Nothobranchius furzeri: one gene and its partners. The protein of the gene in region 1 interacts with the protein of each later gene in a pairwise test. Links are inferred from orthologs where the notes say so. Each region holds a gene or a part of one and is shown in the gene's direction. Other genes may lie near its edges. The genes, in order: vapal, pgrmc2, oprm1 and zbtb22b.

The links.
Region 2: the proteins of vapal (region 1) and pgrmc2 interact in binary tests that used the Homo sapiens proteins (3 or more experiments, as listed by UniProt). The link is inferred for Nothobranchius furzeri from reciprocal best matches to the Homo sapiens genes VAPA and PGRMC2.
Region 3: the proteins of vapal (region 1) and oprm1 interact in binary tests that used the Homo sapiens proteins (3 or more experiments, as listed by UniProt). The link is inferred for Nothobranchius furzeri from reciprocal best matches to the Homo sapiens genes VAPA and OPRM1.
Region 4: the proteins of vapal (region 1) and zbtb22b interact in binary tests that used the Homo sapiens proteins (3 or more experiments, as listed by UniProt). The two-hybrid records come from large-scale screens. The link is inferred for Nothobranchius furzeri from reciprocal best matches to the Homo sapiens genes VAPA and ZBTB22.

Annotation. Positions count from the first base shown.
Region 1 is NC_091751.1:42,859,344-42,865,885, forward strand, and holds the start of vapal (VAMP (vesicle-associated membrane protein)-associated protein A, like), read left to right. Parts: upstream 1-2,162; 5' UTR 2,163-2,258; coding exon 2,259-2,316; intron 2,317-6,542. UniProt on the Homo sapiens protein: Endoplasmic reticulum (ER)-anchored protein that mediates the formation of contact sites between the ER and endosomes via interaction with FFAT motif-containing proteins such as STARD3 or WDR44.
Region 2 is NC_091758.1:17,716,277-17,722,577, forward strand, and holds pgrmc2 (membrane-associated progesterone receptor component 2), read left to right. Parts: upstream 1-2,127; 5' UTR 2,128-2,173; coding exon 2,174-2,516; intron 2,517-3,777; coding exon 3,778-3,933; intron 3,934-5,607; coding exon 5,608-5,705; 3' UTR 5,706-6,256; downstream 6,257-6,301. Other genes in the region: larp1b (la-related protein 1B), read left to right, coding at 1-10. UniProt on the Homo sapiens protein: Required for the maintenance of uterine histoarchitecture and normal female reproductive lifespan. May serve as a universal non-classical progesterone receptor in the uterus.
Region 3 is NC_091752.1:24,310,893-24,316,661, reverse strand, and holds the end of oprm1 (mu-type opioid receptor), read left to right. Parts: intron 1-1,219; coding exon 1,220-1,540; 3' UTR 1,541-4,033; downstream 4,034-5,769. UniProt on the Homo sapiens protein: Receptor for endogenous opioids such as beta-endorphin and endomorphin. Receptor for natural and synthetic opioids including morphine, heroin, DAMGO, fentanyl, etorphine, buprenorphin and methadone.
Region 4 is NC_091759.1:22,811,950-22,818,275, reverse strand, and holds the start of zbtb22b (zinc finger and BTB domain-containing protein 22b), read left to right. Parts: upstream 1-2,450; 5' UTR 2,451-2,597; coding exon 2,598-2,669; intron 2,670-3,445; coding exon 3,446-3,658; intron 3,659-6,149; coding exon 6,150-6,326. UniProt on the Homo sapiens protein: May be involved in transcriptional regulation.

The DNA of each region.
Region 1 (6,542 bases):
GAAGCGAGATTGGCAGTGACCTTTCGCTCGTGGTTTTCTAGACTCATCAGATTTTATTCTGAGTAAATGTCAGACTTGTGACTACGGTGTTTCCCCGATGTCTAACAGTTATTCCCCTAAAGCGATACGTGAAAGTCACCTAAAAGCTGAATGTTACACTTATGGACATGCTCCTTTGTTAAAATGCTGTTTAGATTCACACATGTGTCTTTTTTATTGTTTCTTAAAAATGTATGACATGGCTAAAAGTGAATATCAGCTTTTGGTGCAGTCTGACGGTACCCATATCTTTAAAAGTGCCTATAGTTTCCATTTAACCTCATTTGTATGCAAGTATTTGTTCTCATGTATTCTGTGTAGAAGTCACTGACATTGTAATAAAATTATAATCGTACTCTTTCTTCTAGTTTTCATCATGCCTTTATTTTTGAAGGACATAAATTAGAGGCATGTCTAAAAAGATTACAATCCTATCTAATTGATAAAGCAATATGCCAAAGATAAAATGACGGTGCATCAGCAGCCAGTACAAATTTTATTAATGAAATAAAACCCCTTTTCTAACTATCACGTAGATCTTTAAAACTACGATAATCAGGTGACATAACAAATTAATGGAAATTTCAACTCATTTGGATTAAATTGTAGCCAAATTCAAATATATCAGCAATATTAAAGCGTCGAGGAAATCATAGTTTATCATTTTGAATTGAAAAATGCATATTTTTATTTTAAGAAGTCCTAGAGTGATTTATTTTGAAATAAAATCTAGTGATGCCCAAACCAGAAACTAAAATAGCCAAGATAATAGTAAAAATCTAGGATATTTTTAGTAATTACTTTTACAAAAAATATTTTGACCTGCTCAACAACACAATAAACATGTAATATTAAAGCTTTAATTAAAAAAAGTTGCATTTATGAGACATTAACGCTAAAAGCTTTATTGTTATATGTGCAGTAAGCAGCTGAACGATGAAATTCCTACTTTGCTGCCCCCGCTGGATGCTGAGAGTATAACTGAGGTCTAAAATAAACAAGATAGATGCTAAATACAATAAAACAAACATTTTTATTGTGTTGAAATGACAGCCCACCTACTGTATGTTTGTGCAAGTGGAATAAAGTGTCCAGACAGTAAAGGGATCTTGTGTTTGCATTAGTAAAACAAAAACATTACATTTGATAAATAGATTTTCTTGGTCTTAAACGCATACTAGGCAACTTTATGATTTGTAATAATTTTCATGAGCCAGTATGTGTTAAAATGACCCTTTACAGGGTTCATGAAATGTCACACAGACCCCCACCACTCTCTGAGGCCAGTGTACTGCAGTTGCAACTTCAGAGTGCAGTTTGGTCATTTGGACTAGACTGCAGAGAGAGATTTGGACCTGGAAAAAAAAACTGAGCTGACATACCTGGCGCTGTAATCTGCTGCCAGCATTTTTCCTGTATGTATTAGATCATGAACACAGCTGACATGTTTGATTTAGTGATGCATTACTGCTGTAGACACTAATGAAGGCTGGGGAGACATTTCAGCTCTTAGATGGTGTTAAAACGACGAACGCACAGCGAGGAGATAAGTTTTGCTTTTGGTTCTACTAAACGGACACTAAGGGGTGATTAAAGCAAGTCAAAACTGCCTCTTCCTTTAAAAATAATTATCGCAATAAAATAATTTAGTAGAACTTTAATAACAGTTTTCAAAAAAATTAATTTATTGGAAATGTTGTTAGGCCTTTTATCAGTAAAAAAAGTTTTTTATTTTTATTTTTTTTGAAAATACAAAGGGCAAAAATCACCCGGAGACCTGCTGGACACACATTGGACACCCCTGTTTTACTGGTTAAAATATATTTTTATTTTTTCCCTATTCTGTTGACTTTTCGTTTGTGTTATGTCTGTTTTTGGCTTATTTGTCACAAAATAGAAAAATCTGAAACAAAAATAATGAATTTAGACTTGTTATTTTACTCTTTCACAAAACTGCACCACATCACAATCATCCGCAACCTCGCGTTCACCTTTGTGCGGGTCAAATCAGGACTGTTGTGCAGTTTTATCAGATGTTCTTCCCTCTAAACATGTCAGTGTTTAATGATTTTAGTGCAGGATTATCTTATTTGTTAGAGAGCCACGAGGACGCGGCGCGCGCCGCGGAGGGCTGAGCTCTCGCGCGGTGATTCGGTGAAGTATTTGTACGCAGATGCGCCTTTCAGGACCAGAAGTCACTCAGCGTTTGACTCGCTAAAATGTCCAAGCCGGATCAGGTTTTAATCTTAGACCCTCCCTGCGACCTCAAATTTAAAGGTAGGGAAACGAAAATGTCTATTTGGATGGTTAGGCTCGTTTGAGCAGAACTGTTAACCCACCTGGATGGATTTTTTTCACACTCCGGCTGTTAGCATTCACCGCCATTTTAAGTTAGCCAGGGAAAGGATAGGCCGTTGGAGCCTCGAGCTGTGGTGACGTGGATATCCGGCGATGAGAACGTCTAGGCGGCCTACCGCTCCCGGCCAGCTCGTAAAGAAGCGTTATGGTTCTGAGCTGCGGTTTTAAAATTGCATTAAAACAAGATGTTTTGTGGTTTGTTTGCGGGTTTATTCACTTTAGGCGTAACGTTTTTACTATGCTAGTGCCGCCAATGTTGGCAGCAGAAAAAGAGTTGTTTTCTGGCAGACTTAGCGTTAAATTCATTGCTAATTAAGTGGACATTGATGAACATTGTGGCAGCTCAATGACTTGAGGAAAAAGCTTTTTAATGACGGTCTGTTAGTAACTGAATGAGAAACTCAGCTGAGAAAGTAACTATGTACTTTTAGTAGAAATGTCCTTATTGAACAGTTTATATTAAACCTATAGACTCTTAGGAGACTTTTCATATGTTATGGACAAAAACATGGATGCAAGCACACGTTTATAGTCAGGCTAACACTGATTTTGTTTCTTGGCAGTGATAAAGAGTGATGTGTCAGCTCGCTGTAGGTTATCTAACCTGCTAAAGTTGGTGTGTAGCTTGGTTCATTACCTGCTCTTTAAACAATCTGTGACATAATTAACAATTTAAAGGAAACTTAAGACTTTCTTTTAAACCAACTGTTGCTCCAAACAAGTTCACAGGGTGACAGAAGACTGCTCTGCCTAATTCTGTGCAGTCCATAATCCCTGGTAAATTTTAAATACTTCTTCTCTATCCTTATCATTTACGGTGCTCATTTATCCTCCTGACCTAGAATTCTCCTGCTTTTTGTAATTGTCCCATTTTCTACGCTCTCAGGCATCATTGTCACCATCATACTTTTTCATAGTATAAATAGGCATGTAAAAATGAAGTTTAATACTTTAATTTAGTCATTTTCAGACAGTTAAAACTGCACCCCTGTTTGTTTACTAATGAATGCAGTCACAACCTGTTGTGATTTTTCAATTACTACTAACCAAAGAACATCTGAGTGAGTATTATGTGTTGATTTGACAGGATTTTATTCAAAGGTCACCATTTCTAAAAACAGAGCCAAAAGATAGCCTCTGAATGGGGTTCAGTTATAAAAATAATTCTGTCCCTGATGATATCACAGGGTGTGAAAAAGCAGGACTATGTCACATTCACTTAGCAAACTTGTCAATGATTGTGTTAATGTAAAATAAAGCTTCTCAACTCCTCGAGGAAGCTTTTCAGAACTAAATTGTCAGAAAAATATGCTGTAAATTGATTATATTTGAATAACTTCATTGACTTAATTACAACAAAGCGTTTTATCTGATGCTTTGTTTAATCCACATGACTGTGTCTTGTTATTATTGTCGCATAACATGTTTTTCAGAACATTGTTCCTAAAGGAAGGTGAAAGACAGAAAATCAACCAACATAAAGTGACATTTTGATGATTGCTTTTTCACAGCTCATGATATGATCGGATATGGAATAGACTGTGACTTCTGGTGAGGTTTGATGTTGTTAAAAACCTGTATTAAAGTTCTCGTTAACTGGGAAACTGTAATACTTGTTTTTCAAATGTGATCATTAACTCCTTGAGTTTCACATGTAGGCTGACTGTGAAAGATTTTCTCCAAGCCCCATTGCCTGTATTAGCTGCAGAAAAGAAACAAATGGAGAATCATTCAGGTCAGAAAAAGCCAGGCTCTTCTATGACTACGTTTACATGCAGCCAATATCCGGGTTATGATCGGGTTAAGGTCGGCATTCGGGTTTCTGAGTTGATCAGAATAACCCGTTTACAAGCACAAATAGAAAGAGTTACCCCTAACTTGCATAACCCGATGTAAATGCGGAGGTTGGGGTAGCGTCAGGACGTGTGGACTACGTCCAGACGCAATATGCGTCATTTCCGGTTCTTCTCGTTCCGGTATCCGTGAAAACAACAACATTTTTCCCAGTTCGGAAGAGATAGCGACCGCGTTTGTTTGCGCTTTAGTTTCCTCGTCACTCCGAAAGTGTGGTGCTGTGCCGCGACTCGCCATTTTGCTCCCAACTTGTTTACTTCCGGTGTTCTGGCGCATACAAGACGTCTTGCTACTCAAAAGACCAAGATTCCTTGCGAACAGAGCATGCGCAGAACACACGCTTTGATGTGGATATCCCGATATGCGTTTACACGACCAAACATTCTGGTTAGAAAAGGGTTACCCCAGGTGTAGTAACCGGGTTTTTAAAAACCCGGTTATGAGCATATCCGGGTTTCTGGCGGTGTTTACACGGACCTGCGGAACCGGGTTATTGTGAATATTCGGGTTTTAAAAGGGTTACTGGATGCATGTAAACGCACTGTATGTCGCAGGGAAAATTTGCATTCATGGTAGGGCTGGATGATATAGAAAAACAGTATATCGATAACAATAATTTTATATTGATCGATATAGATAATTATTGAAAAATATTTTAAAAAATTGTAGAAAATATATTTTACTGGCCCTGGCCAATTTATTTTTGGTATTTTTAATTATTTCTCCACCTCTCGCTGAGACATCTTACTCTATTTGGCTTGAGAAGGGGAGGGCCTGGTGACGTAGCGTGCCTGAGTCTGTGGTTTTGATTGGTTAGGAGTAAGTAGTGAGTCTAGTATGCTGCTACCTGATAGATTATAATGAAAAAGGGAATTATTGTCCAGCTCTAATTCATGGCCCCACCTACTTTGATTTGCAGCGGCGGGCGAAGGCTATATTCATTTTGGCCGCCAGGAGAGAACAGCAAATGTCTCGGCTAGTAGAAACGAACCATTAGCTATTACACAATAAGGTGGAACACATTCAGGCTTGTGATTTGCAGAGATAACACATCTACGTTGCTTTTATTTACTCAAGAAAGAAGCGCGAGATTTACGTGTCATGAGTAAGACTCATATTCCTGTCATTTTGCACCCTCCCCACTCCTCCAACTAACCACTACATTTAAAACAGGAGTTTTTCTCCACAGAATAATCTCACAAGGTATTCATTTATACCAGAGAACACTGTAGATTTGTTGAAAAAGCAAGTGAATGAGAGCTTTAACAGTGCCATGAAAGACTTAAATGTTTTTTGAGCAAAGCCTTGCATAGATATCAGATGGTGTATCTATTGGAGGGGTGGTGTGTGTGTGTGTGTGTGGGGGGGGGGGGGTGCAAGTGAAAGGCTTGTTAGAAAGCTTTCCACCTGTCTGAAAACACTTTTGCTGAAGCAAATACACAATGCTGAATAGAAGATTTTAATTTAGGGATGCACAGAAATGAAAACTCTTGGCTGAAACAGAAAATGAGGAAAACATGGCCGAAAACCGAAATACCCCCTTCACCCCCACCCCGTCTGGAGATTCCCAACAGAGAAAAGATGAGCGGAGCACACAGAGGGCAAATATTATATATTAGAGGAGAAACTTACAATACTGACAGGTCTGTTCATTGTTGACGAAGCTCTTTGTCTGATAATGGCTGACTCAGATTCTGAAGAGTAACATTCACCCTCTGATGAAGATATTCACTCGTCCAGTGAGGAAGAAGGTGACACTGCAGTAGCAACAGAGTCCGTGTGCTTCATCAGAGTAAACACGCTTTACACACATCATCCAAAGCTTATTTCTCCATGTTCAGGACATGGTGGGTGTAGAAAGGATGGTAAAAACTAGAGCTGCACGATATTAGGAAAAAAGTGCTTAATAATGCGATATCGATATTACGATAAATGAACAAATACTAAAGTATGCAGTGTTGATGTCGTCTGGCATGTGACGTCTGCTCTGGGTTGAAAGCAAACAAAAACTAATGCATGAATTCCATTACAACATAACATTTTTATTGTAAAAATATGCAGCTGCACCTGCTACTGTATTAGCAGCAAAACAACAAACTGCATGCATGCAGTTTCTCAGTGACTTTAAAACATCACCTCCACCATAAAACTTTTTCTGATGCTCAAAATACAGAAAAACATCCCATACCAGGGTTTTTGAATAAATAAAAAAATCTGAAAATTATTTTAAATGTTAAATAATAGTTAACATCACTTAAATGCAACAGCAAATTCTCTCATTGCTACTGAGC
Region 2 (6,301 bases), on another chromosome or scaffold:
GGAGAAATGATCCTGACGTGGATGGAGCTGCAGCTCAGCTCAGCGTATTTCACAAACAAACCGTTTGGTCATGAAGAAAGACGTAGTGTTAATTAGATTGTTTTTATCAGAGCTTTTTTCTTTAAAGCAGCAAGCATAGGCAGCGAGCTCATAATGTTTACAAAACAACACAAAAAAATGCATTCCTCGCATTTTGTCTTTTGACTCTGATGCCAAACTGATTGCTGTAAACCGTGAAGGTGTTGGATGGAGACGCTGTGGAGAATCTCATGTGCCTTAATCCTCATCACGATGAATGGAGTGTGTTTAATGACTAATTAGTACAAATAATCCTGCTTTCTATCATTTTTGACAATCAGGTAGACGGCTGCAGCCATAGATTAGACAGAAGCTCCTCCAACAGACGTTCCTCAGTTTAATTAAAAACATACAAAAGTAATGATTTTTTTTAACTTAAAGAACAGATTTTAAAGTGTCTGAGGGTCAGCTTCATTCAGTCAAGTGTTTTAGAGCAGAGCCAAACCAAACTAACTAGTGACACTAAATAAAGAACAGAATCAAACATCTTTAGACTTCTGTCAAACGCTGCAGCTCTGTCAAACATTTATCTTTTTACAGCGTTCCATTTTCTCACCAGAACAGTCGTTATAAAATTCAGACATTTATTGAGGCTCTTTCACGTTCATGGTGAGCAAACCTGCTCCATAAATTCTTGTTCAGGCATGGGCAGACAGCTCCCAGGAACAACAACCTGTACCAAACCTGGATTTGTATTAGCTTGAAAGCAGCTAACGAGCCAGCCCCACTAGTTCCACCCACAGACAGCTCATAATTTATTGTTTTATATAACTATTGCATCGACTTGACTGATGGAACAGTCTTAGGTGATCATTTCAGTTTTTAATGCTTTTGCTTTTAAATGTGAGGAAAAATATGAAATATTTCTGTTGGGATTATGAGCATAAACTAGCATCAAAACTACCATTAAATGACTTTTCTTCACTGGACTTGATGGGTTTTAGAGATAGAATAAAAGATAAATGTAAATATTATGAAAATAATTTGCTATTCAATTATTCATTTGATTTTAAAAGTAATTTGTTTTATTAGTAGTGTGTTTTTGAGTGTTTCAGAATAAAGCAGTGCATGTTTGATGAATTGTAAAATGCAAAAAAATAAAAAACTATATATATATATAATAACATCTGATTGTATGAAGTTGTGTTTGAGTGATTTGTTCTACTGCTCTGCTAATTCTAGTTGGTTTCACCAGCCACTTACTGTTTTCACCTTTAGATATCAACATGCAGCTGGAGGTAAAACCACAGTGGGACATCAGTATCATAAGTGCAATGGATGAACAAGATGCAGATGAATCTTCAATAAATATTCATAAAAATGAATGTCAAAAGTTGCATAAGCAATTAAGTGTTTAATCTTGTTTTTGAAGACCTCACAGGAGCATCAAACATCTACCCAGGGTTTACAAAAATAGCTCCTGGAAGCAGCATAATTCAGTTTACAGCTCCATCTTTAATCTTTGTCCCAAAATTTTCAAAAGGATAAATCGACAAATTTTCAGAGTCTTGTATTTTTTTTAGGTTTCATCTAAGTAACTTTTACAGGAAACCCGAATGTTCCAGCAGAATGGAAATAAAACAAGCATAAAGAAAATATAAAACCAATCAATACCTTATAAGGAGATCATATAAAAGGGGAATCATATTGAGGTGAGATGTTCAGATTCTATATATTTGATTTATTTATACAGGCCGCTCACGCCAGAACATGCCAGTTTAGACTGACGTGAAACGGAAAAAACTATGAAGGTAAAAGCCTGCCAAATTTGTTACGATGTGGTAGATTTCAATATGTAAATGTAACTAAATAAGACGTGAATGTTTACGTTTTATTCTAAATATTTAAGTATAAAGGTGTGAATATTGTCATTTCCTAAAAACATGTAGTTAAAACGCTACTTTAAAAGCTCACACACACCTTTTATTATGAATTTGTATTTATTGGAACTTAATTATTCATTTATTACGACTAAAGGAGGTAGTTAACGCCTTGACTTTGTAATTTTCACGCTCGCAAAGCTGGAGTTCTTCCCATTTCCAACGGAGCGTGAACGCAGCATCTGGCCAGGGGCGGGTAGTGCTAACTGTGCAGCATGGCGGACGATGGAGACAGTTCGAGCGGACCAGTTGACACAAGGGTCGGGCAGGGGACAGCGGAGGAGCCAGACGGGCTCGGGCTCAGTGGAATGTTGTTGAATATCAGCAGTTTGGTTCTGGTAGTGGCTGTTTGTTTTGCGGTATACAGGCGGTGGGGTAGACGGCTCGGCTCCGGCGCGGCCCACGGCGACGAGGCCTCGGTACTTCCCAAGATGCGGAGACGGGACTTCACTTTGGAGCAGCTGCGGGAGTATGACGGGCTTCAGAACCCTCGCATCCTCATGGCTGTCAACATGAAAGTGTTCGACGTGACCAGTGGCAAAAAGTTTTATGGAAAAGGTGAACGGGCAACGAGCGGGTGGCTCTGATAGCGAAGTTAGCTGACACGTTGCCGTCTGCAGTGAGTCGCCCTGGACCAGAATTTGAGCGCAAACCGCTCCATTTTAGCTTAGCCTAGCTTAGCTCCCTGGCTTTGTTTGGTTTGAATGGAATTAGCTGCTAGCTAGCTGCGACAGCTGTTACAATAACAACATTTCCACATATTCAATCTTTGAGCCGCGAACCAGTGAATTATTTTGGGTGGAGTTGTATTAACACTGGAGGAGAAGAATTTGTAAAAAAAAATAAAATAATTTGGCTAACCTCTGCCTGCAGCAATTATCCTGTTGATAACTAGCCTGGACACGCCGCTTGTTTACACTGATGAGACTAACTTTGGACGGGGACGCGTCCCCGCAGAGCAGTTCTGGTATGACTGAGAGGGTCAGATATTTGTAGGAAGATGTCTTATCATCACTGCTGATATCTGGCACCAAACATAAAAGCTATTTTCACTTTAAACATGTTCTAGAGCTGTACATACGTTTTATGTCTCACTGTTATAACAAGCCCGGTCAGTATGAGCTGGGTGTGGGTTGGGTTCAGTATCACCGGAATTTAAAGTTTAATTTCATCTGGTGTATTTTCAGACAGGGTAATGTTAGTGCTCGGTAATTTAAACATACCCGTAAATGAATCAGTCCATCTCTCGGTGGAAGGCAGCTGAGATTTTCATCTCAACTGTTTCAGAAACGATTTTACTTGTTTCCAAAAATAAACTGTTAGAGAACTACTATCACTAGCCTTGCTGTGGTCACACAGGCATCATGTGAAAGGGAAGCACTCTGATTCACTATATCTTTAAAACCATTTTCTCACTTCTCCACAACAAAGCTCTGATTTTTCACGTGGGAGTCAGATGATGGCTTGAACATGACTAAAGATGTTTTAATGAAATGTTTTTCATGCTTGTGAAACCTGTGCGGAGCTCAGTCAGACCAGCTGGCGTCACCTTCTACTCCTGTAGGAAATTTTCACATAAAATTATTCATTAAATAAGTAAAGCAGAGGGCTTTCACTATAGTTAAGACCAAACAACATGTTAAAAGCTTCAGTAAACAAGGAATTACACCAAACAGCCGTTGTGTGTTTAAGGAATTAACAGAATAAACAAATCAAACTTCTTGTTGTGAAGCTCATACTGATGCTCTTTCTGGGAAAAACACAAGAAGAAGTTCTTCTTTTTCAGGTCTTATTGACGGGTGTTGTTTTTTCCTTTCAGACGGCCCTTATGGTATTTTTGCTGGGCGGGATGCTTCGAGGGGCCTGGCCACATTCTGCCTAGAGAAGAACGCCCTGAGGGACGAATACGACGACCTATCTGATCTCAGCGCTGTACAGATGGAGAGTGTGAGGGAATGGGAGATGCAGTTCATGGGTAAGCTTTTACATTTGGTTTATAGCTAATAAATAAGCTGCTCACTGAGTGCTGCTTTGATGCAGATGCTGCAGAGACATCTAAAGGTATGCATTTTAATTCTGGTAAACCTGACTGACTTGTTTTTTATGTTGATTATAACTTAAATGAGTGTGGTTTGATTATGTTCCTTTTAAAGGAGAGAACATGTATTTTCATTTGTTTTAATTTAGTTAATTGTACAAAAACAACTAGATTAATAAAGAAAAGAAAGTCATATATTTAGTTGAAGATAAATGTTAAAGAGCAAGTCACCCCCTACCAGAGTATTACTCCACTCCCACTTCCTGTTTGAAAAATGCAACGAATGCTGTTGTCTAGCAGACTGAGATGGCGGAGCCGCTAACAAATACACACACACAGACTCACGGCGACATTGTGACATCATATGGTACCAGCTAACGTTCTAAGGTACCTCTTAGCCAATAGCGATGACAGATTTGAATTCAAATGCAGAATTTTTACCTGACAATGGCACAACACTGACCGTTTAGGCAGAAAATTAAGATTTTAACTAAAATGCACTAAAGTGCTAAACAATTGACTACACATGTCTGCAGCACGATTAGACACGCATTTATATAGTTTATCAGGAAAAAAAGTTGATTTGGGGGTGACGCTCTTTAACTTTATTTAGCTCACTAGCCCTAATGACTAGTTTTAGTCCTCCTGTAGACGTGAAGCTGCTGCTTAGCTCATTTACACAGGAGCGTTAATTATTATCTTTAAGCTGAAACCAGAATAATTGTAGAATTGGTATTTGAGGTACTTTAACCTGGTAACCCAACTGACCGCTTAAGTTTCAACAGAAATATCTCGCGTCAGATCAGACTAAACTAACAAGTGCTGTTGCCACATGGGCTGAAAAAAGACAGAATACACTGAATATGTAATATGTGTAAGACTGTCCTTGAGCCTCGTCTTCATCCTGTTTACAACACAAGTCGTCTCAAATTACAGCATCAAATCTAAATTATAAAAGCTCCAGATTCCCTTACTGGTTGCAGTAAATGAAAATAAGTTTAAAGTAACTGTATATTTTTACCTTTATTCTCTGGAAATGTCCATCAAAATGTTGGAAATGAGTAAAATGTCCAGTAGTTGAAAAGTATTGGCGGCTTCGTAACATAACCAAAAAAATATCAAGTCTAAACTGCATAGTCCATGGGTCTAGCGCCTTTGGGGGGCGCCATATTAGACGCCATGTTTCCTTCTGGCCGGCTTGGGCTCCTGTGCCTGTTGATGATGTCACATTAGATGAGTGGCTAGACGTACAACTTCCTGAAGTTACGTTACCACGTTCAAAAATATTTAGGCAGTAAGAAACACAAATTCAATAACAAAACTGCTAAACTTTTTTTGAAATCTGTGTAAAAGAACAGAATCAAAAAGGGATGCAATACATTTTAGCCGAGTGGTATTACCGTAGTATGATGTCATCGGCAGGTGCAGGACCCCAAGCACACTGAGGTAACATTTACCGTATTGTTTTTTTAAACTAGCGACGGTCACGATTATATGGTGTAAAACTACCCAGAAATGTGTGTATGTGCTGCCCCCTAGTGGCAGGAACACAACACACTGCCACTTTTATTAAACTTGATTATATATAAAATACGTTTGTTGTGTTTTCAGAAAAATACGATTATGTTGGAAGGTTGCTGAAGCCTGGAGACGAACCGTCAGAATACACAGATGAGGAGGACATCAAGGACCACCTAAAGCACGACTGAGCACTTTCCACTGCATTAACCAAAGCCAGAAGCCCCAAGCAGCTGCAACAGGCTTCCTCCCCTCCTGCTCTGTCCCACCCATTTACCCATAATGCCCTGCTCTCCAGCCCCACTGAATCTGTCTGTGTCTGCAGCTGTTTTGGCCGGGAGGACTGAAGTGTCAGACCCCCCACCCCCCTCATCCTGCGAAGGTTACCATCAACAGAGCAACCTGGAACCTTTAGGGAGGATCTTCTGATGTGTCTGGGGGGCAAGCGTGACCAGTGCCGTTAGACCTGAAAGTCTCTTCAGTGGTTCGTCCCGGTGTGGACCGTCGGATTGGGAATGTTCCGATCAAACACACATTAGTCTGGGAGGATCCTTGGAGTGGGAGAGGGAAGCCTCTTCTCTCCTTTTATCTTTGATTTAGTCACATAGCATCTGCACCTGTTGGGCTTTCAGGAGTTTACGGATCATCTGTTATTGTCTGGATCGTTTTCCTCTCGTTAGCGCGTCGCTTCTGTGGCCTGAAGGTGGCGTCGCCGTTTCCTGTTGTGTTTGTAGTGTTTGCACTACTAGTTCTTTCTGTTTGCCCATGTGATAAGTAGCATAGAGGG
Region 3 (5,769 bases), on another chromosome or scaffold:
GGTGTCATCTGCAAAACTTTGGTAGGTGATGTTGTTATTGTTTATGACCTGACCCAGTGGAAGCATGTAGCGATTGAAAAGCAGTGATCCAAGAATCGGGCCTTGGGGGACACTGCATATCAGTGCGATTTGCTTTGATTTTTTTCACCAATGGAAACATTATTCCTGTCTGCAAGTTGTGATTGAAACCAACTATGGGCTGTACCTGAAATTCCCACCCAGTTCAGTAGTCTATCAAAAATAAATCACTTTCTTTGTTACTGTTTTTTGCACTTATTTTTTTGAGAAATGAAAAATATTGCATTTGTGTCCCAATTGAAGATAAGTAAATTAAAATGAAAACATCCAATTGTCTTGTAAAGAATGTGCATATGTATTTTCACTCTTCAGTTGTTATTTTTTATTTTTAAATCCCAAATATGCTTAATAATTTAGACAAATCTGATCCAGTTTGTGTAAAGTGGCTGTACACTGTAAAAAATTACTGTTTATTTAACAATGATAAACCGTAAAACCATAACAGGAAAAAACCGTCAGCTATAAAACTATTTAAAACTGTTGATTTAATGTGGTGTTGCCACTGGTGAAAACAGTAATTTATAAATTCTTTGAATAAAATACATATTCCCACAGTAAAGCACTCTTTCGTCAGCTTTTTTCATCAACGGTATAAACACTATGATTTTTACATTTATTAATTGAAAACATTACAGCTTTTAATTGCTGATAACGGATACATGGTGTAATTTAAAGGCCCCGTGTGTGAAATTCACAGAAATCATAGTAAAAAGATCCGACTCTTTAGCACCACGCAGTTTATAGTTGGTATTGCAGCTATTGGAGCCCCCGAGGATCAAAAAGGGTTTTTTTAATCATTATTTAAAACTTTATTAACAAATATAACAAATACAATACAAAATCGTGTTGCTGTAAACGGCAGCATGTCATCATCTAATTCCAGCTTTCAAGTCAGCGAACAGGTTAGTTGTTTTCATCTAACTTATTTTATTAATTTAATCTAAATAGGTTTTGAATAAGAAAAACTTTTTTATGTCAGTTATGTTTGCTAATAGCAAACGGCAGCTAGTTAGTGATGACTTCTGACTACAAAAAATGACAATATTTTGTTCATTTTATTTGAGAAATGTTATATTTCTATTTGCCATTTTGGAAATATACAAGGTAGTGTAGTCTGTAATTGTTTTCTCTCCGTAAACAGAGTCAGATATCATCCGATGGTTCATCAGTGAAGACAGACAGAGGACGAGGGAGAGGAAGAGGGCGAGGAAGAGGGAGAGGAAGAGGGAGAGGAAGAGGGAGAGGACAGACGTGTGCCAGCGCACAGAGAGGCAGAGGTGTTAGACATGCGACAGAAGCAGGGCAAGCATCCCAAGATGAAGGAGCCGAATTTGCTCAAACCAGCCGCAACGTTCCACGCACAAGAGGAAGAGGCAGAGCTGCAATAAAGTCTAGAAGATCGGCGCTTTCAAGCACTTTCAAACTATCCCGTTTCTCAAGTTTGCTTGTAGAATATGTGTGATCCTCCATCGCTAGAAGTACGGTGTGGCTAGTTTCTTCTTCTTCTTAGTTACTTTGTCAGACTGCATGCTTACAAGGCGCACTTCTGCCCCCTGCTGTTTCTTTGAGGTTACATCATTTAAAAACGCAAACATCAAATGCGAAGCTTAATATGTTGTATGTCCCTAAAAGGTCACTGTATTTTAAGATGGCGCATGCCATATGGAGCACCGGTCTGCTTCTTTTGTCTAAAATATTAAAATATAAAGCTAATAATAATGCTTAGAATAAATGCTTGTTTGAATTATCATTAAAAAAAAACAAATTTGAGAATGTGATACAAGAAATTTGATAACTTATAAGATGAAATATCACACATTGGGCCTTTAACGTTGTGAATTTTACATTAATGTCACATGAAAACACTAGATTATACAGCATTAGGGATGCAGATTTTCCAAGATTTCTTTAACAAGTTATTGATGCCCTTAACGATTATTAGCCATTAGCCATTAAGTAAATTAATTTGATCATGTGACAAGCTCACTTCTTCTGTGGTGTTTCAGTCAACATATTTTGGTAGCGGCACTCGCGTGCCTTTTAGAGACACAAAAAAAAATTGTAGCAGTTGCTGGGGAGAATTTACTTCCTGTTTCCCAGTGAGCTTAACGGCATTTAGGTGAAGTCTGGCACAAAATAAACAATCAATGATGAACAAGAGTCTGCTTCTAGACCTGCAGAAGGAGAAAAAAAAGAAAAACAACACACAACAATACAACAGGAGCAAACAATCACTGTATCAACCTGATGAGAAAATATTAAATCAACAATGTTTTACTGAACAATCACACGATAATAAATCACAGTGTATTAAGTGCCAACCACAGCCTCAAGGCATGTGTTGAACGTGCCCAAGTCCATACTTATGAGAGCACCATGTGAGCACCTGTGTGCGTACCCGCGCTTGCATATGTAAGGTTTCTCTATAGGAGCGTCCAATAGAGAGTGTGAGGGGCCACAGATCTGCCCCCAAAGATGTGTAGGAGCTCCAAGTCTCAGAGATCCAGGAGCTGCCCCAGAGTGCAGGGACCCCAGGGAGACTGCAACCAGAAAAGCCCCTGCCCCCCTCGAGAGGCGCAGAGGATTGCCCCGGGGGGCCACAACCAGCATCCGGCAGAGTCCTGTGAGATATCAGCGGCAAGCCCACAGGCCCGCCCGCAGCCTCCCACCCCCCAGCCAGCCGAGCCCAGGACCCAGGGGCGACCAACCCCGCCGGGGACCCAGCAGAGCCCAGGGACCCAGATCCCACCAGGCAGCCACCGGGACTGATCAGGCAGACACCAAAAATCTTAAACCCCCTAACCACGAACACTCAGGCAGACCAAGGCACCACACTCCACACCAGGTGTGGCAGGGGGAGGGGAGATGAAGATGTATAGCATCAAAAGAAGTCCCAGGAGGAGGGAGGAGTCAAAGGCCCCACCTGACATATACAGTCATACACAGACACAGTAATACACTCCCTCCCTCATGCTCACACATACACATACAACCAAAGACTTACAAAAATGCATGCCGGACACCCACTCATGCTCCCCATACACACCCTATTCACTCTGGTCCCGGTACTGCTGCACATGGGGTAAAACCATTACCGGTTCCCAGAGTTCGACCCTTTCTGCTGGGATGCTGATGAGCAGACTCCCCCGCCCAACACTGAGCAAAGCAACCCACCACCCCAGACCCCAACCAGATGGCCAGATCCCCCTCCTAGCCTCCAGCTCCGGGAAGCCAAGCAACAACAGAGGTGTGCTAAGACCCCTAATCTCCCTCCGCTTGCTCCAATATAGTGTTAGTGCATGTTGATGAGGTGTAGTCCATGGCTGTGGTGAGCGGGCAACGCGGGCATCGTCTAGCCTACGCCAGCTGATGCCACCACACCACCCCACTTGCACCCACAGCCCTTAGTGTCTAAGTGCAGTTTAAAATGGGAAGTGGGCACCAGCACTCAGAATGAGGCTGAAAAATCCCCCTGCCAAATGCCGTTGAATGTGCTCACTCCCAAGACCCCAAGTGTTTGCGTGGAATGTCGTTGGTGGAAGTGTTTATGGTGCAAATAAAATTGGGGGGCAGATTGCCACAGGAATGTGGAAATGGGGTCCATACCTGCACCCCCTGACTTGTCCACCCCCCCAAGGTCCTATGTGCATGTTTGTGTGATGATGTGAGGGAGCAGGAGGAGAAAAATGTGTGGGTATGGGGAGGAATGGCTGGCTGGGCTTAAGCCCTCCAGGGAGCCAGCTCCCCCACTGGCCCCAATAGGCACCTCTGTTGCCAAAAGGCCACCCAGGGCTCTTTTATCGTAAAATCTAAGATTTTTTGACAGTGTAACATGACAATGAGTTCCCCTATCAGTAATATTATGGACTTATCTGTGAAAGAAACGATTCACTGTGGTAAATTGCAACACTTTTAGAGTGAAAATATTGGTTGAATTGACACGGACACACTTTGTTCTCCCTCTGCAGGTATGACTAGCCTTGGAGGGGTCGTCGATGGACTCTCGCTGTCGTGGTGGCGTTGCCAACGATGATCTCAACTCAGAACTCACACAGGTCACCACGGGGCTTTAATCCCACGCTCGGGGGAACAAAAAACCACACGTGCACTTGGACAAAGGTGGCTGGCACATTTCATGGTGGCTGGAAACCTGCTGACTTGTGCTCAGAAGCTGCGTGGCTGCATGTTTGTTTGTACTCGGCAGTCCAAATTAAAAACAGCATGAAATATTTAGATTAAATTAAATATTTATTAAAAATACCACCATAAGAAGAAGGATGTTCCAGGCAGTATAAAAAATCTAATGTTTTATCACTAAAATGTCTTTTGCTCTCTGGTTATATGATGATTTTTATAGACTCTGCCTCGCTGATCTGCTTCAACATCGCTGCTTCGTCCAGGTTCTGCCAACAGATCCATCATTTGCCTTCATAACTCAATGCCATTCCTTTGTCAGAAGTTATTGCTAAATATTACCACATGTCAAAATAACACGGTGAGTTATTAAAAATGTGAATTTCAAGTGTTCCTTCACTCAAAAGCTCCAAGGCTTTATGCCTGCGCGGGGACTTTTCTGAGCAGAAAGTGCAGTTGACAGTCATTGGGATCAGCTGTGCTTTTCCACAAGCCTTTGTGCAGCTGCAACAGGGGTTGACCTCAGAGTTTAACACCAATCGGCTTGGCACCACGCTGGACCTGGGTCACTTCAGAATTATGGAGTGGTCCATTTCTGCTCCTCACTTCAGACGATACATAATTCTTCAATCCAACTTGAGGTGTATAAAGCCTTTGAAAGCATGATATGGCGAGTTCTAGGTTCTCTCCTGTTCAGACAGGAAATCATCTGTGTCCACCACAGCGGACGCTAGTGCCAAACAGTGGGTGCTCCAAACCAGCAAACAAGATGCATCAGCTTGTTTGAACTGCACACATAGCATACTGTTAAAAGATCCAGAGCAAACACGGTGTATGATTAACCTCCGTTTAACAGCCATTACAGCGGCTTTAGGAGGAGCCATTTCTCCTCTGGGGAGCCTAACAGGTGAGCCTATCGGAGCTGGACATCTGGTGTCATCTGTAAAACTGCTTAAGTGTTGTCGCGTATCGTTGTGCAAGATGCCTTTTATTTCCCAGTTTCTCTCTTCACTGCATTCAGTGAGCCAGTATTTTTATGAGACTTTATAAAGAAGGAAACGTTTACCTCATTGCATAACGTATGGTGTTGCTTTTTTATACGCTACTTTTAAAATAAGTAATGAAAATGTGTTTCTAAACAGACACTGCAGGCGTGCTCATTTCTGACTGAACACGGAGTTTAACTTTTGTATTTTGAGAGAAAAGTGAAATTGAAGCCACACTGTGCACACAGTGGGTCTATTTTTGGTTCATCTTGATAAGATGTGGCTGTAGGTTGGATGAGATGTGTCATGCTGCGTGCCACGTGCAAAATATTTTCTTAGATTTTATTTAAAGGTGTGGAATACTGAAAAAATGTTTTAATTATTATTTCTGATTATAATTAGCCACTGAATAAGTCATGCAGGCTGAACATGAAAATCGTCTCCTACACCTATCTCCTGCATTAGCTTCTGATAGGAAATAGGCGGTGACTCTAGGATCTGAAAAGCCTGACAGATCTACGTCATACTGTTACTTAACGTTCATGGACTCACCCATCTTGACTCGCAACGG
Region 4 (6,326 bases), on another chromosome or scaffold:
ACAGGCTTTAGCCTCTTTTTGTAAATAGATTTTTGTTTAGCTTTTTTTAAACTTTAATTAAAATTGTATGAATTTTACTAATGAAAACCATCATATTCTGTTTTTTTCCATCCTTTATTGTTGTAAATCCACTGCAGAAACATCTAGTTTTATTACCAATGCTGACTTCTGATCTCCTTTTCTTGTTGGGTCTTAATAAATATTTTACCTGAGCTGCTCCTGTTTTTAAATGACGTATATTCTTACTTCTCCAAGAAAAAACACTTGGCCAATATAGTAGACCACTTTTTAACATTTCAAGAATTTTATTTCGGAGTGATATATAAATATTAGTTGAATAAGATTTTTGTACAGTATTTTGCATCAAAGATCAGTACTAAATACTCTGTGTAGTTTGGCACATACCGTTTTCATGATAGTTACAATAGACTTCCTGTTAGAATTGAACCCTTTTATTTTGAAGGGACAATTTCCTGTTGAGGGGAAACGCAAGCTTAACTGAAAATAATGGTACGCTACTTTTTTTTTTTCCACCAGAAGGTCGTGCTAGACAGGTTTTTAGGCGGAACTTTTACTTTTTGAATAAAACACAAATGTTAAAATAATAACTACATATCTACAGTACTATAAGACCGATATTTAAACAAATTATCAGCTAAACAAGTTGGTTTGGGTGCTACTTGCTCTTTAAAGAGCAAGTCAACCCCTACCAGAGTCTAACTCCACTCCCACTTCATGTTAGCCTAGAGAACTAGACCAAATTGTTGCTTTGCAAAGTTTGAAAGTTTAAATAATTTATTTAGTCTGGCTTGCCAGGCTAACTTCATGTTTGAAAAATGCAACAACTGCTGTTGCTTGGCAGACCGAAGGCAGAGCTGCTAACAAATACACAAACACACAGGCTCACGACAGCATTGTGACATCATAATGTACCAGTTTACATCATAGCATACCTCTTAGCCAATTTAAAGGCAGATTTAAATTAAAACAGTGCAGAGTTCCTGACAACGGCACAACACTGCCAGTTTTAGGCAGAATATTTAAATTTTAACCAAGATGCACTGAAGTGCAAAATATGTGTCTGCAGCACGATTACACTCGTTTATTATTGTAATCGAGTCACCTTAGTTCCTGGAAGTTACTCTGGTTATACCATAGACTGTAAATACGTGTCATGCTGCGGACACAGGGGAGGCCAGGTGTGTAATCAGAGGGCTGCTATAATTAGGGCAGCTGGGGTCTAGCCGCAAGAGCGGAATGCCTCGCTGTGGGTGCAGCCAAGTGTGTGAGCAGGACTGAGGGGTGAACAGCCGGAATTTTCATTGGCAAGCGGTCGGCCGATGAGACCTTAGCCTGCTACTGTTTTTCCAGTTCTTTTATTAAATCTTTTCTAGTTCTTTTATTAAACCGTTTGCCGGTTTTATCTTATTACTAATCGTTTTCTCCAGAGGGGGAAGGAAGCAAACTTGTGAGTCGGGTGGTTAGCGTTAAGCACAGTGCTGTCTCTGGGAGGCTAGCTTCTTTTAGAGTATCCGCTGTAGGAGTTTTCGGGGTTTTACTCACTTCTGGGTGACGTGTGTATGAGCTTTAGTTAAAGGGAGCACTGAGGCCCTGTCCACACGTAGCCGGGGATCTGCCAAAACGTAGACATTTTTCTACGTTTTGGCCTGTCATCCACACGAAAACGGATCTTTTTAAAAACTCCGGCCAAAGTGAAGATCTGTGTTTTCTCTGTTTTGGGTGTCTGCGTGTGGACAGACAAAACCGGAGTTTTAAGGTCCGCAACGTCACTTTCCGCGACAAAAAATGCTGACATCACGTGTGCGACCTGTGTTTACACTAGCTGACAGCATGGATGCCCTCAGAGCTGCGCACTGTCACTACCCGATCCCTCAATTGTCCAAGTGCTTTCTGCTTGTTTGTTTTTGCAAGCGGAATTACTGCTCCTTGCGGAAGACCACAGACGAGGTTAAGAACGGGGGAAGTACTGCCGCCTACAGGTCTGGCATGTCCTTAACAACGTATTTATCCGGGTACATGTGGACAGAGTTTTGTTTTAAAACGCGGTGGTGTGGATGCAAGTTTTTGGAGGGGCGGATATTCGTTTTCAAAAAACCCGGCTACGTGTGGACTAGGCCTGAGTGTTTTTCTTTATATTATTGTCTCTTGTCTCGGTTCCCTACAGCGGCTTTGTGCTTTTAAATAGTAGTTGGATGGCGTTGTGTGTAGTCCCAGGGCCAGCATTGTCGTCGCTCCTCCCTCTCGTGGTTTAGAGTTTTAGCCTATTTTTATCCCGACCTGGGTTGTCTTTAATAAATCTCCTGTGCTGTATCTTCTAAATAAAATTGTTAAACTTGTGACTAAGCCTCTGCTACGGTTTTAGGATGTAAGCATCCAACCCTCTAGGTCACATTTAGTTTATCAGCAAAACAAAGTTTATTTGGGGGTGACTTGCTCTTTAAAGGTCTGATTTTGTGTCGGCTAAAGTCTGGCTGTCTGTCTGGGGGTCGTTAAAGGCGACGCGTCGTTGTCTGCCGCCGCAGAAATCCGACCAGAACAAGTCCGTTTAAAAATGCTCCTGAAAGTTCGGGTTCTGGATGACCAGGCGGGTCGGGCTGCCCCTTTCTCTCCCACAGACTGGAGCTTTGAGGGCGGCAGAGACTGAAACGGTGAGCCGAACGTCCGCTTTTAGCCCACCGCCTAAGCTAACAGCTGCTAGCATCATGCTAACAGCACATCTGTAACGGAGTGACGGATTTTACAGATGTTTCCCTGACAGATGTGCACGATCAGCTACATAACATTTCACCGGTTTGTAGTTTTAATTTGTAACTTGAGTTTTAATCAACTAAAAGTAAGTTTGTGCCACAGATGAATGAACAAAATGTTGTCTGACACGTTTGACTCAAAACAAGGAACATAATCTGCAGTTTTCTGTCGGACTTGATATAAACTGTAGTTCTGCAGCATCATTGTGTTGTCATTAATCTGCTGTTACCTCTGTGGTTTAATCAGGATGTTTAACGGGAACTAAAAGCTGCAGGTTTTCAGACATAAACAAGATGATCGGTTTGTTATTGATCGTAAAATCTGACTTTCTGGCATTTTAGGGTTTCATTACATTAGTTTTAGGTTACTGATGAGCTTTAAATTGCTTTTTTATACATGGTTTACTACAGAGATCCTAATCTTGTCTGCAGCTTATTTCCTTTCTAAACACAAGGATGCACTTTAAATAATTTGTTGTTTTTTAGCACCAGATGACGTTTTTTTCTGGATTTTTTATTTATAAGAGGTTTAAATTGTCTGATAGGTTAGTCCAGATTATATGATTCACTTTTTCAAACTGCAATAAAAACTTTTGTTCATAAAAAAAACTAATTCTGAATCATATTTGGAGTGACTTAAAGCAGTTGCACTGAGTTGATGCTTTTCTACCATCCAGATGCAGTCGGTGTCCATGGAGGTGGGAAGCAGCAGATCAGGTGGTTCTGTGGTTCAGGTGAGCTTCCCCAGCGCTCAGACGTCTGTTCTGGACAGCCTGAACCGTCAGAGGGAGGACGGTAGTCTCTGTGATCTCTCCATCCACGTCCAGGGACACGTGTTCAAGGCTCACCGCTGCGTCCTCGCTGCTTCCTCGCCGTACTTCCATGACCAGGTCTGACTTCACTAAACCAGATAACAGTTACACACAAATCAGTTCAGTGTGTTAGACAAAAGTCACTAGTGTCTAAAAACACAAAATCCTAAAATTACAAAGCCATGATTAATTGTGTCTGCAGGATTTCTTTTTGCTTTTAGTTCATTTTTAATTAACCAGGAAAGTCTGGGGGGTCCTTCTTGAACCGTCACCTTATCATGATGGAGGAGTTTGAGTGCCCTAATGATCCTAGGAGCTATGATGTCTGGGGCACTTTGTGCCCCTAGTAGGGTCTCCCATGACACATGGGTTTTAGGTGAAGGGTGCGACAAAGAACAGTTCACAGGATCTTTCATGGACATTAAAACAAAGAGTCAGAGTACCCGGCCCGGAGGGTTACCGGGGTCACACCTTGGAGCCAGGCCTGGGGTTGGGGCCCGTGAGCGAGCGCCTGGTGGCACATGGGCTCATCCAACTGTGGACCCACCACCCGCAGGAGGAACATGAAGGGTCCGGTGCAATGTGGATCGGGTGGCAGACCAAGGCGGGAGTCTTGGCGGTCCGATCCCTGGACAAGGAAACTGGTTTTTGGGACATGGAACATCACCTCGCTGGCGGGGAAGGAGCAGGAGCTTGTGGCAGAGGTTGAGCGGTACCGGCTAGATATAGTCGGACTCGCCTCGACACATAGCATTGGCTCTGGAACCCAAGTCCTTGAGAGGGGTTGGATACTCTCCTTTGCTGGAGTTGCTCCGGGGGAGAGGTGGAGGGCTGGGGTTGGCTTTTTGTTAGCCCCGAGACTCTCTGCCTGTGTGTTGGGGTTTACCCCGGGGGACGAGAGGGTAGCTTCCCTGCGCCTTCGGGTCGGGGAAAGGGTCCTGACTTGTTTGTGCTTATGGGCCAAATATCAGTTCAGAGTACCCACCCTTTTTGGAGTCCCTGGGACGAGTGCTAGATAGTGCTCCATCAGGGGACTCCATTGTCCTGCTGGGGGAATTCAATGCTCACGTGGGCAATGACAGCATGACCTGGAGGGGTGTGAATGGGAGGAACGGCCCACCTAATCTGAACTCAAGTGGTGTTTCGTTACTGGACTTCTGTGCAAACCGCAGTTTGGCCATAACGAACACCATGCCCATCGGTACACTTGGTACCAGGGCAGCCTAGGTCGCAGGTCGATAATAGACTTTGTAGTTGTATCATCTGACCTGCGGCCGTATGTTTTGGACACCCGAGTGAAGAGAGGAGCGGAGCTGTCAACTGATCACCACCTGGTGGTGAGTTGGATCAGATGGCAGGGGAAGATGTCGCGTAAACCTGGCAGACCCAAACGCATAGTGAGGGTCTGCTGGGAACGCCTGGCAGAAGAACCTGTTAAGACGGTCTTCAACTCCCACCTCCAGAGGAGGGTGAGTTTGGTCCGCATAGCCGGTAGTAAGTCGGACCTGTTCCAGGTGAGGGTTGGACTCCACCAGGGCTGCCCTTTGTCACCGGTTCTGTTCATTACCTTTATGGACAGAATTTCTAGGCGCAACCGTGGTGTGGAGTGTGTCGAGTTTGGTGGCAGGAGAATCTCGTCTCTGCTTTTTGCGGATGATGTGGTCCTCCTAGCTTCATCCAGCTCTGACCTTCAGCTCTTGCTGGGTAGGTTCACGGCCGAGTGTGAAGCGGCTGGGATGAGGATCAGCACCTCCAAATCTGAGACCATGGTTCTCGACCAGAAAAGGGCGGCTTGCCAACTCTGGATCGGGGGAGAGGTCCTACGTCAAGTGGAGGAGTTTAAGTATCTCGGGGTCTTGTTCACGAGTGAGGGTAGGAGGGATCGGGAGATCGACAGGCGGATTGGTTCGGCGTCTGCAGTGATGCGGACGCTGAGCCGATCTGTCGTGGTGAAGAGGGAGCTGAGCCAGAAAGCCAGGCTCTCGATTTACCGGTCGATCTACGTCCCAATCCTCACCTATGGTCATGAGCTTTGGGTAATGACCGAAAGAACGAGATCGCGGATACAAGCGGCCGAAATGAGTTTCCTCCGTAGGGTGGCCGGGCTCAGCCTTAGAGATAGGGTGAGGAGCTCGGACATTCGGGAGGGACTCGGAGTAGAACCGCTGCTCCTCCGGATCGAAAGGAGCCAGTTGAGGTGGTTTGGGCATCTGGTCAGGATGCCTCCTGGACGCCTCCCTGGGGAGGTGTTTCAGGCATGTCCTGCCGGCAGGAGGCCCCCGGGTCGACCCGGACCCGGATAAGTGGAGGAAGACGACGACGAGGAGTCTGGGGTTAAAAACCTCTTTAAGGAAGTCCTGGGAAGGATTAATGTTAGAATGATGCGTGTTTGCTTTAATTAACTGATTAATTAATTTATTATATTAACAAAATTAAAACAGAACAAAAACATTCATGCAGGACCATGTCCTATCCAAATATTTAGTCAGGTATCAAAAAAAGATGTTTTTACAGAAAGAAAACCAGAGGTGAACCGTCCTTTGACCTTCTGACCTCCACCTGCCTCCAGGTGCTGCTGAAGAACATGTCTACCGTCTCCATCCCGGCCGTGATGGACCCGCTGGCGTTCGAGAGCGTCCTGAGCTGCGCCTACACGGGTCAGCTCCAGATGCTGAGAGACGACATCGTCAACTACCTGACGGTGGGTAGCGTGCTGCAGATGTGGCACATCGTGGACAAATGCACC